3 linked regions of the Tribolium castaneum genome follow. The protein of the gene in region 3 binds, or shares a complex with, the protein of the main gene of each other region. Links are inferred from orthologs where the notes say so. Each region holds a gene or a part of one and is shown on either strand. Other genes may lie near its edges. The genes, in order: Cpsf4, Cpsf73 and Cpsf100.

Evidence for each region.
Region 1: Cpsf100 (region 3) and Cpsf4 share a complex: the UniProt entries of both Drosophila melanogaster proteins name them as parts of the cleavage and polyadenylation specificity factor (CPSF) complex. The link is inferred for Tribolium castaneum from reciprocal best matches to the Drosophila melanogaster genes Cpsf100 and Clp.
Region 2: Cpsf100 (region 3) and Cpsf73 share a complex: the UniProt entries of both Drosophila melanogaster proteins name them as parts of the cleavage and polyadenylation specificity factor (CPSF) complex. The link is inferred for Tribolium castaneum from reciprocal best matches to the Drosophila melanogaster genes Cpsf100 and Cpsf73.

Annotation. Positions count from the first base shown.
Region 1 is NC_087394.1:10,087,756-10,095,291, reverse strand, and holds Cpsf4 (cleavage and polyadenylation specific factor 4, 30kDa), read left to right. Parts: upstream 1-3,888; 5' UTR 3,889-3,946; coding exon 3,947-4,049; intron 4,050-4,098; coding exon 4,099-4,838; 3' UTR 4,839-4,920; downstream 4,921-7,536. Other genes in the region: UBA-like domain-containing protein 2-A, read left to right, coding at 1-38. UniProt on the Drosophila melanogaster protein: Component of the cleavage and polyadenylation specificity factor (CPSF) complex that plays a key role in pre-mRNA 3'-end formation, recognizing the AAUAAA signal sequence and interacting with poly(A) polymerase and other factors to bring about cleavage and poly(A) addition.
Region 2 is NC_087396.1:20,615,991-20,624,760, forward strand, and holds the start of Cpsf73 (cleavage and polyadenylation specificity factor 73), read left to right. Parts: upstream 1-4,019; 5' UTR 4,020-4,105; coding exon 4,106-4,176; intron 4,177-4,222; coding exon 4,223-4,286; intron 4,287-4,333; coding exon 4,334-4,431; intron 4,432-4,482; coding exon 4,483-4,611; intron 4,612-4,743; coding exon 4,744-4,921; intron 4,922-4,968; coding exon 4,969-5,058; intron 5,059-5,104; coding exon 5,105-5,431; intron 5,432-5,725; exon of another isoform or gene 5,726-5,869; coding exon of another isoform or gene 5,870-7,447; intron 7,448-7,500; exon of another isoform or gene 7,501-7,684; intron 7,685-8,154; exon of another isoform or gene 8,155-8,293; intron 8,294-8,341; exon of another isoform or gene 8,342-8,512; intron 8,513-8,556; exon of another isoform or gene 8,557-8,770. Other genes in the region: homer protein homolog 2, read left to right, coding at 1,825-2,009, 2,221-2,357, 2,617-2,802; cuticle protein 8, read right to left, coding at 31-174, 222-335, 386-511, 564-575; delta(24)-sterol reductase, read right to left, coding at 5,870-7,447. UniProt on the Drosophila melanogaster protein: Component of the cleavage and polyadenylation specificity factor (CPSF) complex that plays a key role in pre-mRNA 3'-end formation, recognizing the AAUAAA signal sequence and interacting with poly(A) polymerase and other factors to bring about cleavage and poly(A) addition.
Region 3 is NC_087396.1:18,210,318-18,217,710, forward strand, and holds the end of Cpsf100 (probable cleavage and polyadenylation specificity factor subunit 2), read left to right. Parts: coding exon 1-40; intron 41-89; coding exon 90-355; intron 356-405; coding exon 406-651; intron 652-696; coding exon 697-1,108; intron 1,109-1,156; coding exon 1,157-1,312; intron 1,313-1,360; coding exon 1,361-1,632; intron 1,633-3,377; coding exon 3,378-3,800; intron 3,801-4,358; coding exon 4,359-4,636; 3' UTR 4,637-4,662; downstream 4,663-7,393. UniProt on the Drosophila melanogaster protein: Component of the cleavage and polyadenylation specificity factor (CPSF) complex that plays a key role in pre-mRNA 3'-end formation, recognizing the AAUAAA signal sequence and interacting with poly(A) polymerase and other factors to bring about cleavage and poly(A) addition.

The sequences.
Region 1 (7,536 bases), on a different chromosome or scaffold from region 3:
CCCGTCAATCGCCACAGCCGACAACACAACAACGATAAAATGCATATAATTCTAGTGCACCCGAAATTCAGATGATGATGCTCAGAGAACTATATGTAAATTCAGTGACTGTAATACTGTTAGTGGATATTTTGTTGAAGAAGTACCTAACCATACTTCTATTTTGTTGAAGTGGATTTTTATTTTATTGATGAGGGTTGCCCCAATATCAAGTCCAGCTAGAATCGTAGATTTGATCAAGTGTAAATTTATTCACTGACAGAGTTCCTGCAAGTGCAACTAAGTAGGTTTCAGTTATATGTTAAGTATTTAAATGTCAGATTCTATAATGGAGTCTTCATATCTCACTCACAAAAGACAACACCATGGATTCTTCAATCGTGTTACATGGGATACAACAACATTGACGAGTAAAGTAAATTTTTAAAACATACTGTGATGGAGTTTGTTTTCATTTTAGTACTGGAAGAGAATATTATTTTAAAAGACCCATGAAAACAGGGTTTATTATTTTCTAGAACAGCGCCGATAATTTATTACGAGCAAACCAATTTGATTATTTATTATTATGCACCAATTTACAGTTTTTAATACAAGAAATATTTTCCTCACATGTATGGATACATAATATGTATATTAGAATAAGATAATTTTATTTGTAAAACTAGAATAATTCGACAGTGTAAAATATCAGATCAAGTTAGCTAATTCAATGTAAACTTTTTACAGTTCTGATATTTTTATACTGTGCCATCTGTGCTTTAAAAGTGCAGTATTAAAGTGGCAGAATAAGAAGGTGCTTTTTCTTCTAGTTCTTATAATTCGTAGCTGGATTTAATGTAATTAATTTGTTTGTTATTTTGTATATATTAAGTTTAAGTTGAAATTACGAGCTTATAGCGGCTCATCTTCCTACTTTCAACAATATGATTATAACAATAAATTCAGTACAAGTCGCTTCTTATTTCTTGGACCTTTGTCCTGAAGTAGTTTTTCTTTTAGTCGTATTTAATTGACATGGACAGGTGTTGCAATTTTTTTATATAATTTTTTTTAAACAAAAGATGACATTTTAATGAAATCTAAAAAAATCAATATCATCTTTTCTTGGTATTGTCATTTCAACAGTTGTAAGATATATCGAAATGGTTAAAAAATGGGGCTCATTAACTCAATACTCAAAATACAAAAAGTGTAATCAAGTCGAGAATTGTGTATTTTTTTTATTTACCTGTTCGGGCATTTGAGCCAAAGCAAACTATTTTTAGCTATCTTAATAAAATTAATACTTATTTTTTCGACTGTATATTGTTAAGAAACATGATATACAATAGCAGAATAATTAATTAAATCGACTTCTGTTTTTGGACCTAAAGTGAGAAGCTTACATTGCCATTTATTCTCTAGTTAATCATGGAAGTGTCAGAAAAAACATAATTCTATGATAGCCTCTTTAATTTTATTTATCGAAAAAAATTAAAAAATATTTGTTATTTCCATTATAGTTCACTAAACCATCAAGACATTCAAGATAATGCTATCTAACGGTGGTGTTACTTGTTTTTCAGTTTTCTCGACATCAATTAAAAAAAAATAATCTGCGACAATTACAGTTATTTACTTGAAATAATTGTTTTTGTACCTAAATCTTTGTAAGCAATTTGTTTACAGCACGAGTGCACGGAGTGCTGCTTGAATTGAGAATGTGGGAAATAAGTAAATTACTAGTCAGATGCAAAATTTTTCGGATTTTGTAAGGAGTAACAATTTTTTCATGGTTTAGTTTTTTTATTTAACCAGTCGTTCATTAGAATATATAAACCCTTTATGTTAAATAGTTTTTCCATGGCCAATTACTCTTAAACCTTGTTTTTTCTTTTTAAATACGTATAATAAAAACATCGAATTGTTTTTTTATTTATAATTTATTATTTATATCTACATTATTATTTATATTATTTATATTATTTATATTATTTATTTATATTATTATATTATTATTTATATTTTTAAATTTAGAAAAAAATAAGCACATCATAAATGTCAGCCAACTAAAATTTCTATTATGTAATTACAGGTAAACAAATTATTAAAAAAATTACATTTTTAAATTTTTTATGAAAAAGTACCTCTGCAGTGTCTTTGTTTCAGATGTGTTTTTTATACAGGCTGCACAAAAAATGAAATCAGATTTTCTTTCAAGAACTTAATTTTTGTATATTTTTTGAATTTGTTTTCCTCAGCAAAGGTATCGATTGTTTTTTTTGTTTCCTACGGTGTCGAATGTAATATATCAAATTGGCAAGTTTTTGAATTGTTTTGTACATCATAAGACATTTGTAAATATGATCTGAAGCACCAAAAACGTAACCTTGAAGAGTTATATCTCGTGATAGAAGGCTCATAGGAACTTTTAATTCAGTTTGCTTCCTTTATCAGCTTCCGGGAGATTGTTCATCACTTTTGAATCACTCTGTGTAATAAGGAAGATATTTTTTTAGATTAAATTTCGCTAAAATGTCAACTTTTGATTAACTTTGTTGTTGTCGAAAGCAAATGATATAGCGGGATGTGGGTTTTGACCATAATTATTTTCTCGAATAACGAGCTTAAGAATGTGTTATTCGTTTTTTAAAGCCTTTTAGTTTTAACGATTTTTTATTTGAAAACCTAAAATGCACCTGTTCATCTTAGTAATAATAGTTGTTATTTTTTTATAATTGTCGTTATTCTCTATACATTAAACAATGTATTTTTATCAAAACAATCAATTTTCGGACCTTGTATACAACAAATGGCTCCTAGTGGTTTTTTATTTTTTAAATCATACTAACTGTTTCAAGACTATTGAAGTGCTAACGTCGCATTTTGTCTAAAAATTATTTGTTATGTTATTCATGCGCTTCAAAAAATTATTAGCTGATGTAATTTATTATTTCAACTATTTTACATTTTTGTAAACGTTATTTAGAAAAATAATTCGGTAAAGGGCGTCGTTGGCATTTTGAAACGCTAATTAGTCCATAATGAAATTTTAGGAAAACTGTTACACAAACTTGACAATAAGGCTTATTCCAAATCTGCGGCCTATTTTATAAAACTTTTTACAAGTGATTTACTTGTCACTTGTAAAAATCAACTTGTAGTTTTTATGAAACGGGCCCCTGGTGGCGAACTGACATTGCCAAAAATGACTGAATTTTAGCATTGAAGATAGATATGTTTAATTAAAAAAAAAATGCCCACAGGCGTCACAATAAAAAGATAAGAATATTGAACAATATAATAATAGTAATATTTCTATGTATCTTCGTCCTCAAAATTTATGTTAAAGTAAATAAGTAAATTTTAGAGAAAAAAATGCACCCCCTTTATTTCATTCTTTTAATGAAGTGGGTGCATTTCAAGAGTTTTTTTTTATATCACTGCCAGTTCGCCACCAGATATGGAACAACCTTTACCCAGAACAATGCAATTGTGGATTAAATTTGTTTTTTTTTTTGACAATTTAGTGGTCAACTGGAACCAGTATTATCCTAGTATTACTAGTTGCATCAAAAAATCTTCAGAAATAAGCCACAATTGACTCGCAATGTATATTTACACTTAATTTTGAGTTTCGCAAATAAATTTTTTTTGGTAATTTTTAGATAGGCAACACACTATACGGACTGCCTATCAACGGATCATCTAATTTTTTACTTTCCTTATTTAAAGCCGTTCCTTATTATATTATTGTATCGTTTTCCAGAGATTGGAACACGGTAAACTTGCTAAGTTTTTTTTTGAATTTGAAATTTTTTACACTAAACCAGAGCTGCCAATCTAGACCAACTGGTGGCAGGCTATGGTGGCAGGACTACATGTCAAATAGTTGATTTTGTTGTGGTTAAAATAAAAGGTGTTGCGTTTTCATTTTTTGTAATATTAAACTACAAATATCGAAATGGAGTGCATTGTGGCCAACGTGGACCACATAAAATTCGACATTGAAGTGGCTCTAGATGAGCAATTCGGCGCTTTGCCCTTACCATTTCCCGGAATGGACAGTAAGTGAGGTTATGTCGAAAATATAATTTTCTCGTTTTTTGCTTTCAGAATCAATTGCAGCCGTTTGTCAGTTTTACACTTCAATACAAGGCTGTCAAAAGGGCCCCCAATGTCCGTTTCGTCACGTGCGAGGCGACCGAACCATTGTGTGCAAACACTGGCTGAGAGGTCTTTGCAAGAAAGGCGACCAGTGCGAGTTTTTACACGAGTATGACATGACAAAAATGCCCGAGTGTTACTTCTATTCGAGATTTAACGCTTGTCACAATAAAGAGTGTCCGTTTTTACACATAGACCCTGAGAGTAAAATCAAGGATTGTCCTTGGTATGACCGTGGGTTTTGTCGACATGGGCCCCACTGTCGTCACAGACACGTGCGCAGGGTTTTGTGTACGAATTACTTGGCAGGCTTTTGCCCCGAAGGGCCAAACTGCAAGTATATGCACCCAAGGTTTGAGTTGCCTGCGCCCCCTGATCAGGTGCAGAAGGACAAGAAAGCCACTCCTGTTATTATTTGTCACTTTTGTAACGAACATGGACACAAGGCGATACATTGTAATAAGATGAATAGTGATAACAGAGACGCCTTAAATGACGAGAATCGAAAACAGAATGATCATTATGAGCCTCAGAACTCTTATTTGCAGAAAATGTTGCCTAAGAAGCTGGAAGATGTTACTTGTTACAAGTGTGGTACAAAGGGACACTACGCAAATCGGTGCCCTAAAGGGCACTTGGCGTTTTTGTCACAGGCCAAGAGCAATCAGGATGGACAAGGTGATCAATAAGAGTGGTGATCGTTTTTAAATAATATTTAAAGTTATTCAAACTATTGTATTTATTCTATAGGAAAATAAACAACAATTTTTACGAGTAGATTTATTTCGCCTTTTTCCAAAAATTAATCTAATTATTTTTCTTAGGTTACAGGCGTAGTTTTTTAGGTACATTATACCATTGTTTGTGAGGTGAGATAAAGCTGTTAGAGTTGTTCTCACAAGTGAGTAAATCTAGAGAAAATTGGAGAAAACAATGAGTCTGTTCATTTCATCACTACGAAAACTGATGCTAATGTTACAGGCGGATATTTACTTGAATTTTTTGGATTTTTTTCTAATGCACGTGTAAGATAAAACGTCGTATATCACACGTGATCGAAATACCGTTTTAAAGCTCGTGGGACACTCCCACTCGAGCACAAGCGCACTCGTGTGTCAAATTCTCACTTACATATAATGATCCATTTCTATCTCTTATAATATAATATACTATTATCTTACAGGAGCAGTTTTTTAGGTACATTATACCATTAAACTTGGTGAGAGAAATGAAATTTCTCTCATTGAACATTTTCTCGTCCTCAGAGTAGATTAACTGTCCTAAAGTTTTATTTAAAGCGTTATAAAACAAAAAAGGAGGCAACGGCACGCGGTGTTCCCAAGCGGTCACCCATCCAAGTACTAACCGCGCCCGACGCTGCTTAACTTCAGTGATCAGACGAGAACTGGTGTATTCAGCGTGGTATGGACGTTGCCTGAACGTTTTCTCGTCCTCAGAGTAGATTAGCTGTCCTAAAAGTTTTATTTAAGACGTTACAAAACAAAAAAGGAGGCAACGGCACGCGGTGTTCCCAAGCGGTCACCCATCCAAGTACTAACCGCGCCCGACGCTGCTTAACTTCAGTGATCAGACGAGAACTGGTGTATTCAGCGTGGTATGGACGTTGCCTGAACGTTTTCTCGTCCTCAGAGTAGATTAGCTGTCCTAAAAGTTTTATTTAAGACGTTACAAAACAAAAAAGGAGGCAACGGCACGCGGTGTTCCCAAGCGGTCACCCATCCAAGTACTAACCGCGCCCGACGCTGCTTAACTTCAGTGATCAGACGAGAACTGGTGTATTCAGCGTGGTATGGACGTTGCCTGAACGTTTTCTCGTCCTCAGAGTAGATTAGCTGTCCTAAAAGTTTTATTTAAGACGTTACAAAACAAAAAAGGAGGCAACGGCACGCGGTGTTCCCAAGCGGTCACCCATCCAAGTACTAACCGCGCCCGACGCTGCTTAACTTCAGTGATCAGACGAGAACTGGTGTATTCAGCGTGGTATGGACGTTGCCTGAAAATTTTCTCGGCCTCACAGGAGATTAACTGTCCTAAAAGTTTTATTTAAGGCGTTACAAACCAAAAAAGGAGGCAACGGCACGCGGTGTTCCCAAGCGGTCACCCATCCAAGTACTAACCGCGCCCGACGCTGCTTAACTTCAGTGATCAGACGAGAACTGGTGTATTCAGCGTGGTATGGACGTTGCCTGAACGTTTTCTCGTCCTCAGAGTAGATTAACTGTTCTAAAAGTTTTATTTAAGGCGTTATAAAACAAAAAAGGAGGCAACGGCACGCGGTGTTCCCAAGCGGTCACCCATCCAAGTACTAACCGCGCCCGACGCTGCTTAACTTCAGTGATCAGACGAGAACTGGTGTATTCAGCGTGGTATGGACGTTGCCTGAAAATTTTCTCGGCCTCACAGGAGATTAACTGTCCTAAAAGTTTTATTTAAGGCGTTACAAACCAAAAAAGGAGGCAACGGCACGCGGTGTTCCCAAGCGGTCACCCATCCAAGTACTAACCGCGCCCGACGCTGCTTAACTTCAGTGATCAGACGAGAACTGGTGTATTCAGCGTGGTATGGACGTTGCCTGAACGTTTTCTCGTCCTCAGAGTAGATTAACTGTTCTAAAAGTTTTATTTAAGGCGTTATAAAACAAAAAAGGAGGCAACGGCACGCGGTGTTCCCAAGCGGTCACCCATCCAAGTACTAACCGCGCCCGACGCTGCTTAACTTCAGTGATCAGACGAGAACTGGTGTATTCAGCGTGGTATGGACGTTGCCTGAACGTTTTTTCGTCCTCAGAGTAGATTAACTGTTCTAAAAGTTTTATTTAAGGCGTTATAAAACAAAAAAGGAGGCAACGGCACGCGGTGTTCCCAAGCGGTCACCCATCCAAGTACTAACCGCGCCCGACGCTGCTTAACTTCAGTGATCAGACGAGAACTGGTGTATTCAGCGTGGTATGGACGTTGCCTGAACGTTTTCTCGTCCTCAGAGTAGATTAGCTGTCCTAAAAGTTTTATTTAAGGCGTTATAAAACAAAAAAGGAGGCAACGGCACGCGGTGTTCCCAAGCGGTCACCCATCCAAGTACTAACCGCGCCCGACGCTGCTTAACTTCAGTGATCAGACGAGAACTGGTGTATTCAGCGTGGTATGGACGTTGCCTGAAAATTTTCTCGGCCTCAGAGGAGATTAACTGTTCTAAAAGTTTTATTTAAGGCGTTATAAAACAAAAAAGGAGGCAACGGCACGCGGTGTTCCCAAGCGGTCACCCATCCAAGTACTAACCGCGCCCGACGCTGCTTAACTTCAGTGATCAGACGAGAACTGGTGTATTCAGCGTGGTATGGACGTTGCCTGAACGTTTTCTCGTCCTCAG
Region 2 (8,770 bases), about 2.4 Mb from region 3:
CTTGAGGTAAAAAAAGTATCACAAAACAAATTAATAGTGTCCGCCATAGCCGCCCCCGATGTGTCCAATTTGTTGGTGCTGGTGGTGTGGTTCGCCAATTTTGTGCACAACGGCGTTAAATCCACTATGTTTATCGGCTTTATATTCCACAACACGAGTAGTGCCATCAGCCTCCTAAAAACCGTCGATTATTTATGTCAACAAGCGCACTTTTTTGCAACCTTCAAAGTGTAAGTCCCTTTAACTTGGTCACCATCACGTTCTTCGTGGTGTTGTTTCTCATCGCCGGTGTGAGGGTCATGCACAGCGTAGTTGAATTGGTATTTAGGGTGTTCCTAATTTACCAATAAATAAGTCACTCGGGAAACCTGTCTCATTTACTTACGTGATGGTGTTCCTCGTGATGGCCCCCATACTCGATCTCGCCCCCTTCTATGTGGCCCCCGTAACCCTCCAATTCACCCAAATAACCGGCGTAAGCCGCCAGGAAAAGGGTAGCGATGACGAACACCTTAAAAACAAGGATTAGTCACTGGCTTAGTTAGCACTGTACATAATTTTACTTGATTGAACATTTTTGGTGATGTTTGTTGATGAACTGATGTCGATGTGTGGTTGCGTTTGGTTTTTATAGCTGCCTCCACACCAGAGCCTCCCTTCAGTCTTCCTCACTTTCTCTGACGTTGTTGCATCGGTTCGGTTTTTCGTCCGTTGCGAAAAAACGTTGCTGATTTGCCTTGTTGCATTCGAGACGCAATAAATTATAGGTTCGCATATCGTCAGAAAAAGTGAAACTGTTACGCTTTTTTGATCGATAAGCACACATAAATTACACAGTCCGTCAGAGGCCTGTGCCATTTTTGAATTTTTAAACCAACGAAAAAGTAAAGTGACTAAAAACTTACATTGATCTTAATATGGAGTAACTATTCTATAAAACATTCTGAAGTTGTGATTGATGGAAAAATTACTAAAAATTCGGCAAACATGTGCCGGGTTTTTCAATTTTTTGCTTAAAATAACGTTTTTCGTGTTTGGCAAGATGCAGATTATCGGGAACCTATCTTTGATCTTGCAACAATTTGCACAACGTTCACGAAAGTGTAAATAAAACGTGAATAAACTAATGAATGTAATTGGGTTTTGTAAAGAAATTGTGCGTGAATAATTAAATTCAGAGCTAATATACACATACTCGCTTTAATTGCAATTATGAAAACAAAAAACAATACTTCTGTTGAACCGTTCTTTGCTACGATTTTTTCATTACGCCGAATATTTGCAATTTCGGTATTAAATAACAATAAAGAATGCAATTAGGGTCTTTGTGCATTAATATCCATACATTTGCGTTTTTTATTGAATTTTTATGCTAAAGAAAGCCGTACTTTGCAAATTCATGAAATGGTACATTAATTTATATAATAAAAATAATAGGTTTTTATTAAACGAGAACATTGACAGGAGCCCAGTTACGGACGGAAAAAATATGCGTTCTGCTTCACCAAGCGCCGTTACGTAATTGTTTATTAATTCGATATTAAGGGGAACATTAATTTTCGCAGTGCATTTCCTAAATTCGATGAAAATTGCATTTTCCTTCCGGTTGGCAAAGAAGCGATAAAATCTCGAGTTTTTCGCCTGGGGATAAGGATGTGAAGTTGTTGCTTAATTGTTTCCAGTTTCACTAATAATGTTCTAATAAATATTACGTGATTGTTATTATTTCCGCCCCATTTAGCAAACTAAATATGGGAAGAGTTATGAAATTGGATTAGTAGTGCTAATATTTAGTAAAACGTTTTGTCTGATTGATGGTTTCAGTTCGGCCAATGCTAAAAAATGGGAAATCGAGTTGGCCACGTTAAAGAGCAACAATGCAAGACTAACAAGTGCACTTCAAGAAAGCACGGCAAACGTCGATGAGTGGAAACGACAATTGGCAAGTCTTAAGGAAGAAAATATGCGAATGAAAGCGAAGTATCAAGCAGATTTGGAAAATAGTAAAGGTGAGTTGGCTGTCAATTGTTTATTCAAATCGGTGTAATAATTGCATAAGAATCGGTGCTTAAAGTCGGCAACATATGGCAAATTGCATTTCTGCAATATGGTAAATGGGAAAGCAATCAAATGATAATAATTATTGCATCTAGTTTATTTGACACGCGGTTTCGTTTTCTCCCACAACTAGAACAATTGAGAGTTTTGTTTATTGATCAGGTGGCGGCGACATTGCCGATGAACTGCGCCAAGAAATTCAAAGTCTGCGAATTCGCCTCGAACAGATGGAGGCCGAGCTGGACGCCAAAAATAGCGAATTCAAGCAGTTGGCTTTCCAGAAACCGTCGGATATTCAGGTAAAGTCAAAAATTTGGAAAAAATAAAAATTTAGTTTTTCTTGCATTCTACGCTCATATCTTAAAAATTTGGGGTAACTTTAAAGCATCGAAATGAAGCGAGTTAGAAACTTTCGTTTGTCACATATTTTTTTCTTTTGGGCAACTAGAAGTATTTGTAGTATTTCTCAAATTTGCTTTTCAATTTTCCCGTACACAAAAAAATGATCTGTTACTTTGTGAAAAAAAAATTCTTTGAAAAACTGTGATTTTCCCGCAGGCGTTGCAGAAGGAAAACCAGGAGCTCCAGGCGACGGCAAAATTGGCCCAATCCGAGCTGGACATCGCTCTCAGCGCCCACGAATCTCAGCGCCAAATCCTCCTCACGCTGAATTCGCAGCTGGCGTCGCGAGTACAAGAACTAGCAACGATCCACGACGAAATCACCACGGCTTTGCAGACGTGAGAGCTTGAAGACAGATAGCATCGTAATGTACGCGAACGCATTTATATTGCATATGTATAGGGTCCGTGTAATATCTTGCTTAGGTCTATAACTATGAATGTCTCGAAAAATATAATATTCATAACGTACGTACTATCGGTTATAAACTTTATACTTTATTTATTTACAAAGTGCCACCGCACAATTTATTAGGTTGTCTAATGTCCATGCATTTATTGAAATTGTGATGTGTCCGGACTCGCGTCCAAAGGCCAAAACGAACAAAAGTTATTTTATTCTGCAGCTTCCTTGATTAAAGTGGCGCCGTCTATTTTTTTTCCTTTCTTTCCTTCACGGATTAAGGAAGCTGTTTTATTCAGCTGCGATTTTTGGTTGTGTAAATGCCATTTAATTGTAGGATTTTCAAGTATCAAAGCGTTTTATACGTAACAATGCGTACTGTCGTGCAGCTTTCAGTATTTTGTTAATAGTTGCAGAATTAACATATCATGGGTTTTGTGTTTTATTATTGTGATGCGTTAATTTTGTTACTATTACCGAGCGCACATTTATTTTAGGTTTCATTTCATCATCGAGATTGACTGATTATTTATTTTACGTTATCATTTGAATCAAAATAAGTCCTCATAAAAACGTAGCGAATTACTTTATGTTGCCATTGTGAAATAGGGTTCTTCGTAGCCAAACACTAAGCTGACAATGCACACGTATTATTACAAGATTTTTTGTTTATTTATATTTTATTTGGTTGAAAAAGAATTGCTTGAGAGACGTTTAGCGCGTTGTTATAATTATATAGAAGAAATGTCTTTCAAGCACGTTTTTAACGTGACTTTCAAAGCAACAATAACGATAATAATGGAAATTTCTCAATACTGTACCATTAGAAGTCAGTGCTATAAACATATTGCACTTGTACTATAGGCGGAGATTTGTTCTAATAATAGGATGAGCTGATTATTATTATGTTGAGATTGTTATAATGAAGCAAAACTGTTTCCAATTTTTTATTTCTGTATAATGCAAGACCAAAATGTATTAGGCGATTTTGTTTGTAGAAATAGATGATTATTAAAAAAGTGACTTTTTGTGTGAAACCCCCAAAACACCCAGAATTCAGGCACATTTTAGGTGTGTATGATAAGGTCTAAGGGAGACAGCAAGGTGGAAAAACGTGTTGATTTGAATTTAAATTTTGTACCAACCTCAAAACCTAAAATTCCCCCGATTTCGAAAGTGATTTTTTTAGGTTATGTGTATCATGAAAGCTGCATAAAAAATAAAGTTTTTGGCTTTGGAAATCATGTCCAATAAACGCAAACCCGATTCCCAAGTCCCAGCCGAAGAAAGCGACCTTTTGACCATTAGGCCACTGTAATTATTCCAAAAATTACAATTTTGTGTTAACACTGTCTTGTAGGGGTGCCGGTCAGGAAGTGGGACGGTCTTGCATAATGCTTGAATTTAAAGGGAAAAAAATTATGGTCAGTTTGATCGATTTTTATTCGTTTATAAGACTTTAAACTTGTAGCTTGATTGTGGAATCCATCCTGGGCTCTCAGGCATGGATGCGTTGCCTTTCGTTGATTTAATTGAAGCCGACGAAATCGATTTGTTGCTAATATCACAGTACGAAACATTTTTTTTTCGTACATTAATAACTGTAACGTGAAATTCCAGTTTTCACCTGGACCATTGTGGGGCTTTGCCCTGGTTTTTGCAAAAAACGAGTTTCAAGGGTCGCTGCTTTATGACCCACGCCACCAAGGCGATTTATCGGTGGTTATTGTCAGATTATGTGAAAGTCAGGTAAATTGTGACTTAATAAGGGCGAAAAAAATTTCTGGTAGTTCTCCGTAATTATTATTAAAAAAAAATAAGATTTATGTTTTTAAACTGGCCCTTGACCTACTTTGATCGGAAATGTGTTCGAATTTGCAGCAACATTGCAACCGAACAGATGCTCTACACTGAGGCGGACTTGGAGGCTAGTATGGACAAAATCGAGACAATAAATTTCCACGAAGAGAAAGACGTTTTGGGGATCAAATTCTGGGCTTACAATGCGGGACATGTCTTGGGCGCCGCTATGTTTATGATTGAGATAGCTGGCGTTAAAGTACGACACTTAAATTTCAAACAACTTTATTGAAAATTTCGTTTTAGATTTTATACACTGGCGATTTTTCGCGTCAGGAAGACCGTCATTTAATGGCTGCGGAGATTCCAACAGTTCACCCTGATGTTCTAATTACAGTACGACTTAAATTTTGACTAACATTTATTCAAAAAAATATTACAGGAATCTACCTACGGTACCCACATTCACGAAAAACGCGAAGAACGTGAAAGTCGTTTTACGAATCTAGTTCACGATATTGTTAACAGAGGCGGTCGCTGTTTGATCCCCGTTTTTGCATTAGGACGGGCACAGGAGTTGCTTCTAATTTTGGATGAGTATTGGAGCCAACATCCAGATTTACACGATATTCCCATCTATTATGCTTCCTCATTGGCTAAGAAATGTATGGCTGTGTACCAGACTTACATCAACGCCATGAACGACAAAATTAAGCGACAAATCGCAATAAACAACCCGTTCGTGTTCAAGCACATCTCGAATTTGAAGGTGAGTTTTTGTAGCTGTGAGTATAGAAAATTTTATTACCAAGTTGGCAATGAGAACCATAACTTGAGTAGACTATAATTAATGCAATGATCACTGAGCTAATAATCGTATTATGAATAATTCGTAAATTCTGTCTGCGTTTTTTATCAAATTGTTATAAAAAACGAATGCATAAACGTACAAAAAAATGTAGTTTATTTTTACGGACTTGAAACTTATCAAGACATCGTGTGAGTGTAATAAAATTAATAAAATCGGTTCGGTGCGGTTATAACTTATCCAGTACGCTTGGAATATGGAAAAAATAATTTATTACGTAATAGAATATATTATTTCAGTAAAATATGCATAAAAAAATAAAAACTGGATTAACAAATAGTTATGAATACGCAACCAATAATACATTTTTAATCGTAGAAAAATACTTGTATGCCATTTTCACTTGATTTCGAATCGTTGCCCCACTTCGAACACATCGATTTCCGGCTTGACCTTATCGTAAAGATGTGGGAACGACCCCTCGGCCCCATACTTCCTCCGCACTTTCTCATACAACGTCAAGTCAAACATTTCCTCAAACTCTTCCCTAGTCATGAAAATATCGGCATACAAGAACGAAAAACCCCCAATATCACGCGTAAACTTCTCCATCTCCCTCATCGCATAAACAGGATTATACCGCTCCTTGCGTTTCACATACCCAGGCACCCCATAAATCCCCAAATCGTTGTACATTGCATAATCGGTCCCCTCAACGATATACTCCTTCCGGGGCGCTTTCAACTGACCGGAAGCCGGTCCTCTGTCATAAACCCGACATGGGTAGACCAGAAGTGGATAGGCGTCGAAAAGTTCGTCCGATTTATCGATTTGATCCTCAAGTTTGCGAATTGGTAGGACAATGTCTTGGAACACTTGTCTTGTGAAAGTGTAAACTCGTACGCCGGGGGTTGTCGTGAATTTGAGGAATGCTGGCTTTGGGGGCAACAACCAGCCGAAGAATAGGCGGAAAAGGGGGTTGTTGCCGAAGGGGATCATTGATTCAACGACCCAGAAAATGGCCCGGTTGTGGCGCAGTAAATACTCCCGTAAAGGGATCAACTCTGTGTGTTTGCCTTTTTTGAGGAATGTTTCCACGTATTTGTAAAACCACGGTTTGTACCAGCGATTTACGTGGTTTATCGGCAGGTTTGGGTCATAGTCGGAGTAAGACCCTGTCATTATTACGGCCCTTTCAGGGCTATAAATAGTCGCTTCCACGTAATCTTCAGTGGGATAATCGCCACTATCGCCTGACAATAACCTGATCATATCACAGTAGTTTTTCTTCCCTTCGACCGGAATATAATTCATTTTGATAAAGGGCTTGACTTTCACAAGTCTCAAGGTTAAGGCTACAAGAAACCCCAGACTGCCGTGTGACCACGGCAGGGTTTTATAAAGATCAGCGTTTTCGTTCTTCGCAGCCCTGACAAGACTCCCATCGTGCAAAACCACCTCGTACGAAACCACCGTTTCGTGGTACAGCCCCACTTTGTGTGAGTGCGTCGTCATGCCGGTGCCCAGCGCGAGCCCCCCGAGCGTGGCGTCGGCAATTTCAAGTGTCACAGCTAGGGTGAACCCCCGCGGAATTAAAAATTGCGTGATTTCGCCCACAGTGACCATGGGTTCGACCCGCACGGTCAGATTGTGTTCATCCAATTGCAGAATGTCGAACAGATCGACGTTGATTTTGTGGCACAGGTCTTTGCGGTAGAAGGTGGTGGAGAGGCTTAGCCAGTTGGGGCGCGCTGTACATAGAAGTTTTCGTTCGTCTTTGGGGATTTTGTTCCATTGTTGGATTTGTTTCTGGATCGCGCGGACGCGCGAATCGTGGTTTGTGGGGCTGCTGAAGAAAAACCGGTGGAGGGTTTTGCGGATTGTTAGGAAGAGGTTGAAAATGTAGCTGGCGGGGAGGCAGAAGAAGAGGACGACGAGGCCTCGGTGGGTTTCGAGGAATTCGACGAGGCGGCCCATCTGGAAATAAATAATTTTGCAAAATTGAGGGAAAAAACAGTTTCTAACCTCACTTTTGGAAGAGTTGATTAACTCTGTTGCGATGTGGTTTATCGGTATTTACAACACTTGAGACGATTGATAATTTATTTATAAATTGATTAAAAAATTGACCTTTCACCTTTTGTCGTTTGCATTTGAATTAATCGCATGTTTGTTTGTTTTCTTATGTGGGTGGAAAGTTATGAAATATCTCCTTTACTTTCTTTACATAGCACGAGGGCACGAGCGACTAATTCTCGCTTGTATTTAGATATTTTTGTAAATTTTTGAGCAAATTATGTAATAACTACACTGTTCTTACATATTTTTATTTATTTTTACAGTACAGTGCAATATCTACAACATTTTTTGTGTGTATGTCTTCGAATTAAAATAACTTTTTTTAATAAATTGGGTAAACAGTCGAAATACTTTCGTGTTCTCATTAAAAAATATACACAACGTTTAATATCTATAACTGTACAAGGCCTCCGCCTAATGTACGCAACCAAATATACAAAAGTCACAAAAGACTAGATAAAAAATACTTGTTTAATTTTTGGAGACCCATGACAGTAGTTGTCAGAAATGTCAGACTGTTACATTAATAGACGTAAATTTTGAATTTTTTGTAAAGTTTAATTTTTGGAGACCCATGACAGTAGTTGTCAGAAATGTCAGACTGTTACATTAATAGACGTAAATTTTGAATTTTTTGTAAAGTTTATTGTTAATTTAATGTTTTATTAAAACCGTTGTACTATAGAAAGATTAGATATGAAACTGAACTAATATAATAACGTAAGTGGTTATGGCAGCTATCATCTGAAACGAACAAGCGATAGCACTGAAAAAAATTTCCACAAATCTTACAGTGTGGCAAAAACTCCAATCCAGTCGAAAAAAATTTCTTGCCCTAAATTCCAGTTTATTGTTCAGAAAACGAATCGAAACTAGCTGAAGATGTCGCAGCTTTTTAGTCATATTTCCATTCGCTTCAAACTTATTCCAAATATCGTGTATGTAACGTCCGGTTATATTGGCCTAAAAAATCGTTTCGGTTTAATTGTCAGATGCTCAGGAATCACCTCTTTTTCGGTCCTCGTGAACATCTCCAGAATTAGAAGAAGCCAAAACACGTAGAACGAAAGAAAAGCAAAGTTATTACCGAACAAAACAAACAAATTGGCTTCGTAAGAACGTGCCAGAAAGTAGATTAAAAAATAGACAGTGGAAGTAACGTAATTGAAGCTAGTGATCATTGCCACGATTATTGTCGTCTCAAAGTGGTGACAAATGTTC
Region 3 (7,393 bases):
ACGAACATTTCGATATGGAAATTATCAAAGAAATGAGAAGGTGAACTTAACCTAAAAACGGGAACTTGATTTGACTGACTTTATTTAAGGCATGTTCACACGATTGACGCCGTCTTGATTTCGTACCCTGATGTGGCGCATTTGGGGGCTCTTCCATATTTAGTCGGAAAGTTGGGCTTGAATTGCCCTATTTATGCCACAATACCGGTCTATAAGATGGGGCAAATGTTTATGTATGACTTGTTTCAGTCTCATTATAATATGGAAGACTTTGATTTATTCACATTGGATGATGTGGACGCCACTTTTGAGAAAGTTATTCAGCTGAAGTATAATCAGAGTGTTCCATTAAAAGGTAGGTAACTTCCAAAAATTGTTATTTCGTAAAAGTTAATTGGGGAAAAGGCAAGGGGTATGGATTGACAATCACGCCCTTGCCTGCTGGGCACATGATTGGGGGCACAATTTGGAAAATAATGAAGGTTGGTGAAGAAGACATTATTTACGCTAATGATTTCAACCACAAAAAAGAGAGGCATTTGAACGGTTGTGAGTTAGAAAAGTTACAAAGGCCCTCTCTGTTCATCACTGATGCGTTTAATGCTACGTACCAACAAGCCAGGAGAAGGGCTCGGGACGAAAAACTAATGAGTAATAATGAGCGTTGAGTTGGAAAGTTGTTAATAATTTTTTTAGCCAACATTTTGCAAACTTTGAGGAACAACGGCAACGTTCTGGTCGCTGTGGACACAGCAGGCCGTGTTTTAGAACTGGCCCATATGTTGGACCAGCTTTGGAGAAACAAGGAATCAGGCCTTCTAGTCTATTCTCTAGCTCTGCTAAGCAATGTCAGTTACAACGTTGTAGAGTTTGCAAAGTCTCAAATTGAGTGGATGAGTGATAAACTGATGAGGAGTTTTGAAGGCGCGAGAAATAATCCTTTCCAGTTCAAACATCTGCAACTGTGTCACAGTTTACACGAACTACAGAAGGTTTCAAGTCCTAAAGTTGTTCTCGCGAGTTCGCCTGATATGGAGAGTGGGTTCTCTCGCGAGTTGTTTCTTCAGTGGTGCTCAAATCCTAATAATAGTATAATTATCACGACTAGGTTTGTAATTTATTTAATTTTTTTTTGTCGCTTAAAGTATGATTTAAGGACGTCTCCGGGGACATTAGCTCGAGATTTAGTCGATAATGGGGGCAATCGCCAAATCGATTTGGTTGTGAAAAGACGAGTCAAGTTAGAAGGTAGCGAACTTGAAGAGTACCAAAAGAGCCAAAGAGAAAAACGAGAGGAAAATTCCAGCAGGGAGTAAGTTTGAGTTAGGTGGGTTACACTGTCACTTAATCCCCCTTTTAGCGAGGAGTCGGATTCAGACGATGATATTGAAATGAGTGTCATATCAAAAGGGCGGCACGATATTGTCATAAAACAAGAAGGCAAGACCTCAGGTGGCTTTTTCAAAGTTACGAAAAAACAATATCCCATCTACCCTTTTCACGAAGAAAAAATCAAATGTGACGAATACGGCGAAATAATCAAACCGGAAGACTACAAGCTAGCTGATGTCGTCACAGAAACTGAAGATAATAAGGAAAATGTTGTGATCAAAAAAGAAGAAGAGGTCATTCGTGAGTATCATTTACGGGCAACTAAATATCAGAAGGCAAACAACTAACCAAACCTTTAGTGAGGTGGAGCAAAATTCAAATTCTCTGTTTCAAATTAATTTAATTAGTTCGCTGATTGATTAGAAAAAATGCATCATGTTCTTAATGAGCGGCGAAAAAAAATTTGCGTTCTGTTCTATATTTCTCAAAACGCTGCGAATACAGGGTTATATATACAAGAAAAATGTAAGAAAAAAAAAGTTGAAAGAATAAATAAAGAAACAATGACGTTTAAAGCAGCTTATTTTACTGGTAGGTGGATTTTGGGGGAACACTTTAAAGTAAATTAAATGTAATCAGTTGAAAATTGAGATGTGGCCTCGTGGACTACTTTATAGAAAACTGAATTTTCTACAACTTTGTTTTTTCCACTTTTTTATATCTTTATCAGTATTCTCAAAATAAAATTGTGGTAATTTTTAAAAAAATATATGTTTTGGTATTTTTTGCGTTATACTTAAATAAGAAAATACTATGGGAGTATCAATAGAGTATAGGGCAAATTGATAAAAAAAGTCTTTGCCTAACCATTTTCGAAATATTTTTTTTAAATTATGTTGGAGATAAAGAGTACGTCACTGATGTATACGTAAGTAGTATTAGCACAGTTGATGGAAACTTGGAGAGCATGATATTCATTTGATGACAATGTAACTCGATCACTGCAACAATGATCACTGTGTATTATCGATATTCATGATAAAAACGAGCACATTTTTTCCAATACAAGTAAACCCATGAGCGCCGTAAGTGAGCCTTACGAAATAAAAACTTAAATATGTACAGGTCGTCTCTACTTTTCGGTGAAAAGTTATGATAAAATTTCGTCGCCACTTTTACTTGGATAGCTGTGATAAAATTTTGTCGGTCAATTTAAGAATTACCCCGTATGTGGTATCTTAATATGGAGATTTTTTATTAATAAATTAATATGTCGTGTCGCATTCTAGTATCATAGAATTGTAGTTTGAATTTAAGGACCTATGATTTGAATTTAAGTTGGCAACATTAATTATTTTCTGTTCGTAATTTGTGGCAGAAACTGCCAATTTGGATAATTATTTTTACCCTTTATTTGTAGGCTTTCTTGGCAATAAATTTGTCATTGGAATCTTATCACACATACTTTTTTACAAAAAGTTAAAATTTGTGACAAATTTGACCATAAAAAGCGCTGTTGGCTTTTTTGCCTTGTTTGAAATCCAATTTTTTTAGCACTGTTACAAAATAAACTTATACTAAATTTATATAACATGAATAAACAAATCAAATAAAAATTTAATAGAAAACACATTTAAAAGGCGTTCGAGAAAAAAAGTGAATATAAAAAACGCGTGAGTAGTAAGGAAGCCTTTAAATAAGTTCAGTTTATAATTGTTTTTATAAAATCAATGTTGTTTTTCTGCAATTAAACTTTTGGTGAGAAATTATATAAGAGTCGTAAGACATAAATAAACATAACACTTTTTAGTGGAATTATAGAAATTCGCAGACTATATATTTTGTTGCTTTCCAAAAAATGGTATAGTTTTGTTTAAATAAAACTTAAAAATAAATGTCCGACTTGGTAACTTTCTGCGATAAACCCACGATTTATTTATTTACTTATTTCCGAAGAACGGCTTTAGGCATAGTCTTATCCTCACATAATAAATGTTGCCAACCTAATTTTAAAATCACAGGTCACTGATTGACAATATTTACAGCTGAGGTGGCTGAGACGCCGTCCAAGTGCATCGTACTTAGCAGGACTGTCCAGGTTAACTGTCAAGTGCAATATATTGACTTCGAAGGTCGCTCAGACGGGGAATCCCTCATGAAAATTTTGTCTCAGTTGAGGCCCAGAAGAGTTATAATCGTCCGAGGTTCGCCTGAGAGTACTAACACGATAAAAAATCACTGTCAGGAGAATCTCGATGCAAGAGTGTTTGCTCCAGTCAGGGGTGAAGTCGTGGATGCGACAACTGAGACTCATATTTATCAAGTGCGTCTGACTGATGCTCTGGTGTCTCAACTGAATTTCCAGAAGGCTAAAGATGCCGAAGTTGCGTGGCTTAACGCCCAGATTGTGGTCAGGGAAAGTCAGTTGGATGCGAGGAGGATGAATGTCGACAACGAACCAATGGAAGGTAAATTTTGTGGCAATGACGTAAATTATAGGGTCTGTTTATAAAAGAGAGGATCTCAGGTGGTTCTGGAATTGGAATTCGCCGCATTTAATTACTTTATTTCTATTAAATTTCTGATAAGTACCAATTTTTATCTACTCTACAACCATTGAAACAATTTTTTTTCATATACTAACATTGTTCGTTTTTTGTGGAAAGAAGCGGCAAACTTTTAATACCTACTACAATCCTATATTCATTTATAGACGGATTGTTTTTCAATAAGATTAGCTCTTTGAAAACTATAAAAACGCCAATGTCGCATTTTCTCTCAAAATTAGCTGTTATTATTATTAATATTCAAAAAAATAATAGTTCGTGTAATTTAAACTTTCAATGAGAGATCTAATCATTAATAACTATTTTATAATTTTATCATTCTTATTTAAAAAATATTTCGGTAAAATGTGACGTTGGGCTTTTTTATATTTTTGTTATAGGTAATATACGAGCTGTGGGTTTGGTCACTTCTTTCGACAGTTTCTCATTTAAAAAACTGGTTATTTTATCTTTTTGCAGTCGATGAGGAAGAGTCAAAAATATTGACTCTGGAGCCCTACGGCGACAACATCCCCCACGACACAGTATTCATCAACGAACTAAAACTTTCCGAATTCAAACAAATCCTGGCTAAAAGCAACATCAATTCAGAATTTTCAGGCGGAGTTTTGTGGTGCAGCAACGGCACTTTAGCCATCAGGAGGGTAGAAACAGGGAGAGTGATCCTCGAAGGTTGCATTTCGGAAGATTATTACAAAGTGAAAGAGCTTTTGTATGAGCAGTACGCAGTACTGTAGTGTTTTTCATAAATTTTCGTACCTTTTTGTTTTGTTTTTTTTTCCTTCTGATTCATCCCCTCCCCCACGCGGTGGCGTCAAGTGAGTTAAGAATATTAGACAACAATTACGCTATAAATTGCTTAGCAACCGCGCATCCGTCTTTGTCTTTCTTGCGAGATTGTCTAGCGCTATCACGTTTCAATCAAAACGTAAGAGTGATTAATGCAGGCACCATGTATAGATAGTCCTGGTGAACCAACTTCCCTTATTTTCCATTGTCGGGCGCAAACCAAAATGTGGAGCAAGTTGGAGCTTTTATTTTATCTGACAGATGGCACCAGCGTAGACTGGGACTGTCACAATGTTTACAAGAAAAAAGATACACGCATCACGTTGTTAAAAATACGACATTTATGAAGAACAATTAATACCTGAAGGATGCCCGCACCGAATGGTAGTGGAGTTTTTTTTCTGGAAAGCATTTATTCTGACTTCAATGTTTCGATGTCTTTCGCGGCCGAAAATGCATCGAACCGAAGTTTAGAACTATTCAGAAAATATTATTATTTCAGCGCGAAAAAAGCAGAAGTTGTTACAAGATGACTAACTTGGGTGCTGAGATAACATTTTTTAATTTCGCATCATTTTTTTATAAAAAACAAAGAAAATTTGTGAAATTGTGACAGTCCCAGTCTACCGTGCTGCCATCTATCAACTTGCTCCAGCGTTAGAATCAATTATAATAGCGAGTTGGTTTACCTGTCTGTCTCTATATCGTGAATGCAGGCAATAGTTGGTGATTTATGGCCGATTTAAGACTCCCGGCCGTCAATAACCCGTTTGTCAGTCGAACTTTTTGCTTTGGAAGCAGACAATGATTGAAAATTGTATGGAAAAGGGTCCCAAACAGGCTAATATTAGCACTAGAGTCGGCGTATGGGCCAATGGCGAGCCCGCGCTCCCCACCCTTACTCAATTCATTCAGTTATCTTTTCGCTGAGCATCATCGGCTATCTCTTTTTACTTGTGTACAGTAGATGATACAGAAAGTGTGGTGTTGCTGTGTTCTGTTTTGCTGTGAGTTTTCTCGTGTGAAAAGCGGGTGGAAATTGGCCTTTTGAAGGACACGGCGGTCCATTGATGCGAAAGTAAGTCGGGGGCGGTGGGGCCAGTGGAGGGGTGCCGGTGTGCCAAGTCGGGGGCTGAAGTGCGCTTTAAAGCATTGACAGCAGTCAGCATTTATATTTGCAAAGTGGCTCGAAATGCGACACTTTACCTGAAAAGACTTGCTTTCGTGTTGGAGAGGTGATAAGCGAGATATTCGGATTATCACCATGATAAGGTTGAGAGCTCGCCAAATGAAACACGGTTGAATTTGCGCCAAAATTATTGATTGTGTTGATCGATGGCGATTGTTGTCTTTATGACACCATAAAGCGTTTTTTCTTCGATGAAAACAATACTTTTATGGTTCACTTATCTTCATTGCTATAATAATTCAAATTCCAAAATCCAAACGAGTGAATAATTAGGTGGTACCAAAGTGCATATTAATATGCAATTAGTAAAGGCATGCCCAAATGCGATGCAATTGATTTGCTATTTAAATTATTCCTGATGTCAGATATTCAACAGGGGCCCTGAATAACTAGAGATAAAGGAGGCCTTCAATCGTGAACAAACTGCGAAACGTTGTACACCTGCATCTGAGATTGCTGGCTGTGAGGGTGCAATATGAGGAGGGTTGCAGGTTCACAAACCCATGAACCTTTCATAAAATGCGAATTTTAATCAGCCGGTGTGACACCATAAGAAAGTTTATTGTCAGCGTGTGAATACGAGAAAAATACAGTATTTTATACTTCAGAATGGCAAAGATTTAGTTGATAAGTAACTATGAATTAGTAATTATTAGGGTAATTATTAGATTTTTAATTATTTGCATTTGATTTTTTGCAAAGCTTATGAGTAACATTGTTGTATATTCGACAATGGATCAAATCTTTCTTAAAACTGTTTAGATTTACGATATCTAATTATACTGATTATGTATTTCCAGATGTTTTTTTCAATCATACCTTGCAAGGTAAATATCTTTTGTTGGCGGGTGAACCTTAAACCACTCTCGGTTAGCAGGTCTCATTGACAAAATGGTTGTTATTAAAAAAGTACTGAACCAATGTAGTACGCAGCCGATTTTATCGCTTTTATTGTAGAAAATATTTTTTTCTTTATACTGTCTCATCGTATTCAATCATTTTTTCATTCATATTTACTATTAGCTGTTTCAAAACTATAAAAACACCAACGTCGCATTTTCTCTCAAAATTAGTTGTTATAAACTATTCATAGCCGATGTAATTTATAGGTTCAAGAGAGATCTGATCATTAATAACTATTTTACAATTTTATCAATCTTATTTAAGAAAATAATTTGGTAAAATGCGACGTTGGCGTTTTTATAGTTTTGAAACAGCTAATACTTTTGTAAAACGTAAACTTTTTGACATAAAATTTAAAAAAACGAAAATTTTGTTGCAACAAAAATTTTTTATTTACATTTTTCTTTTATCATTTTGACAGGGGAATGATCAAATGTGAAGAAATATTACTCATATTGCTTTAGTGTTTACCGACATACCGAGATTGTTATTGTTTTCATTACATCGGCTCGGCTGTTTTACCCATGTTTTACCACTCGTATCACCAGTAACCACAAATAAAACTCTTCTAAAGAAACATTTTCTTCCAACTTATGCCGAAAGCACGTAACTT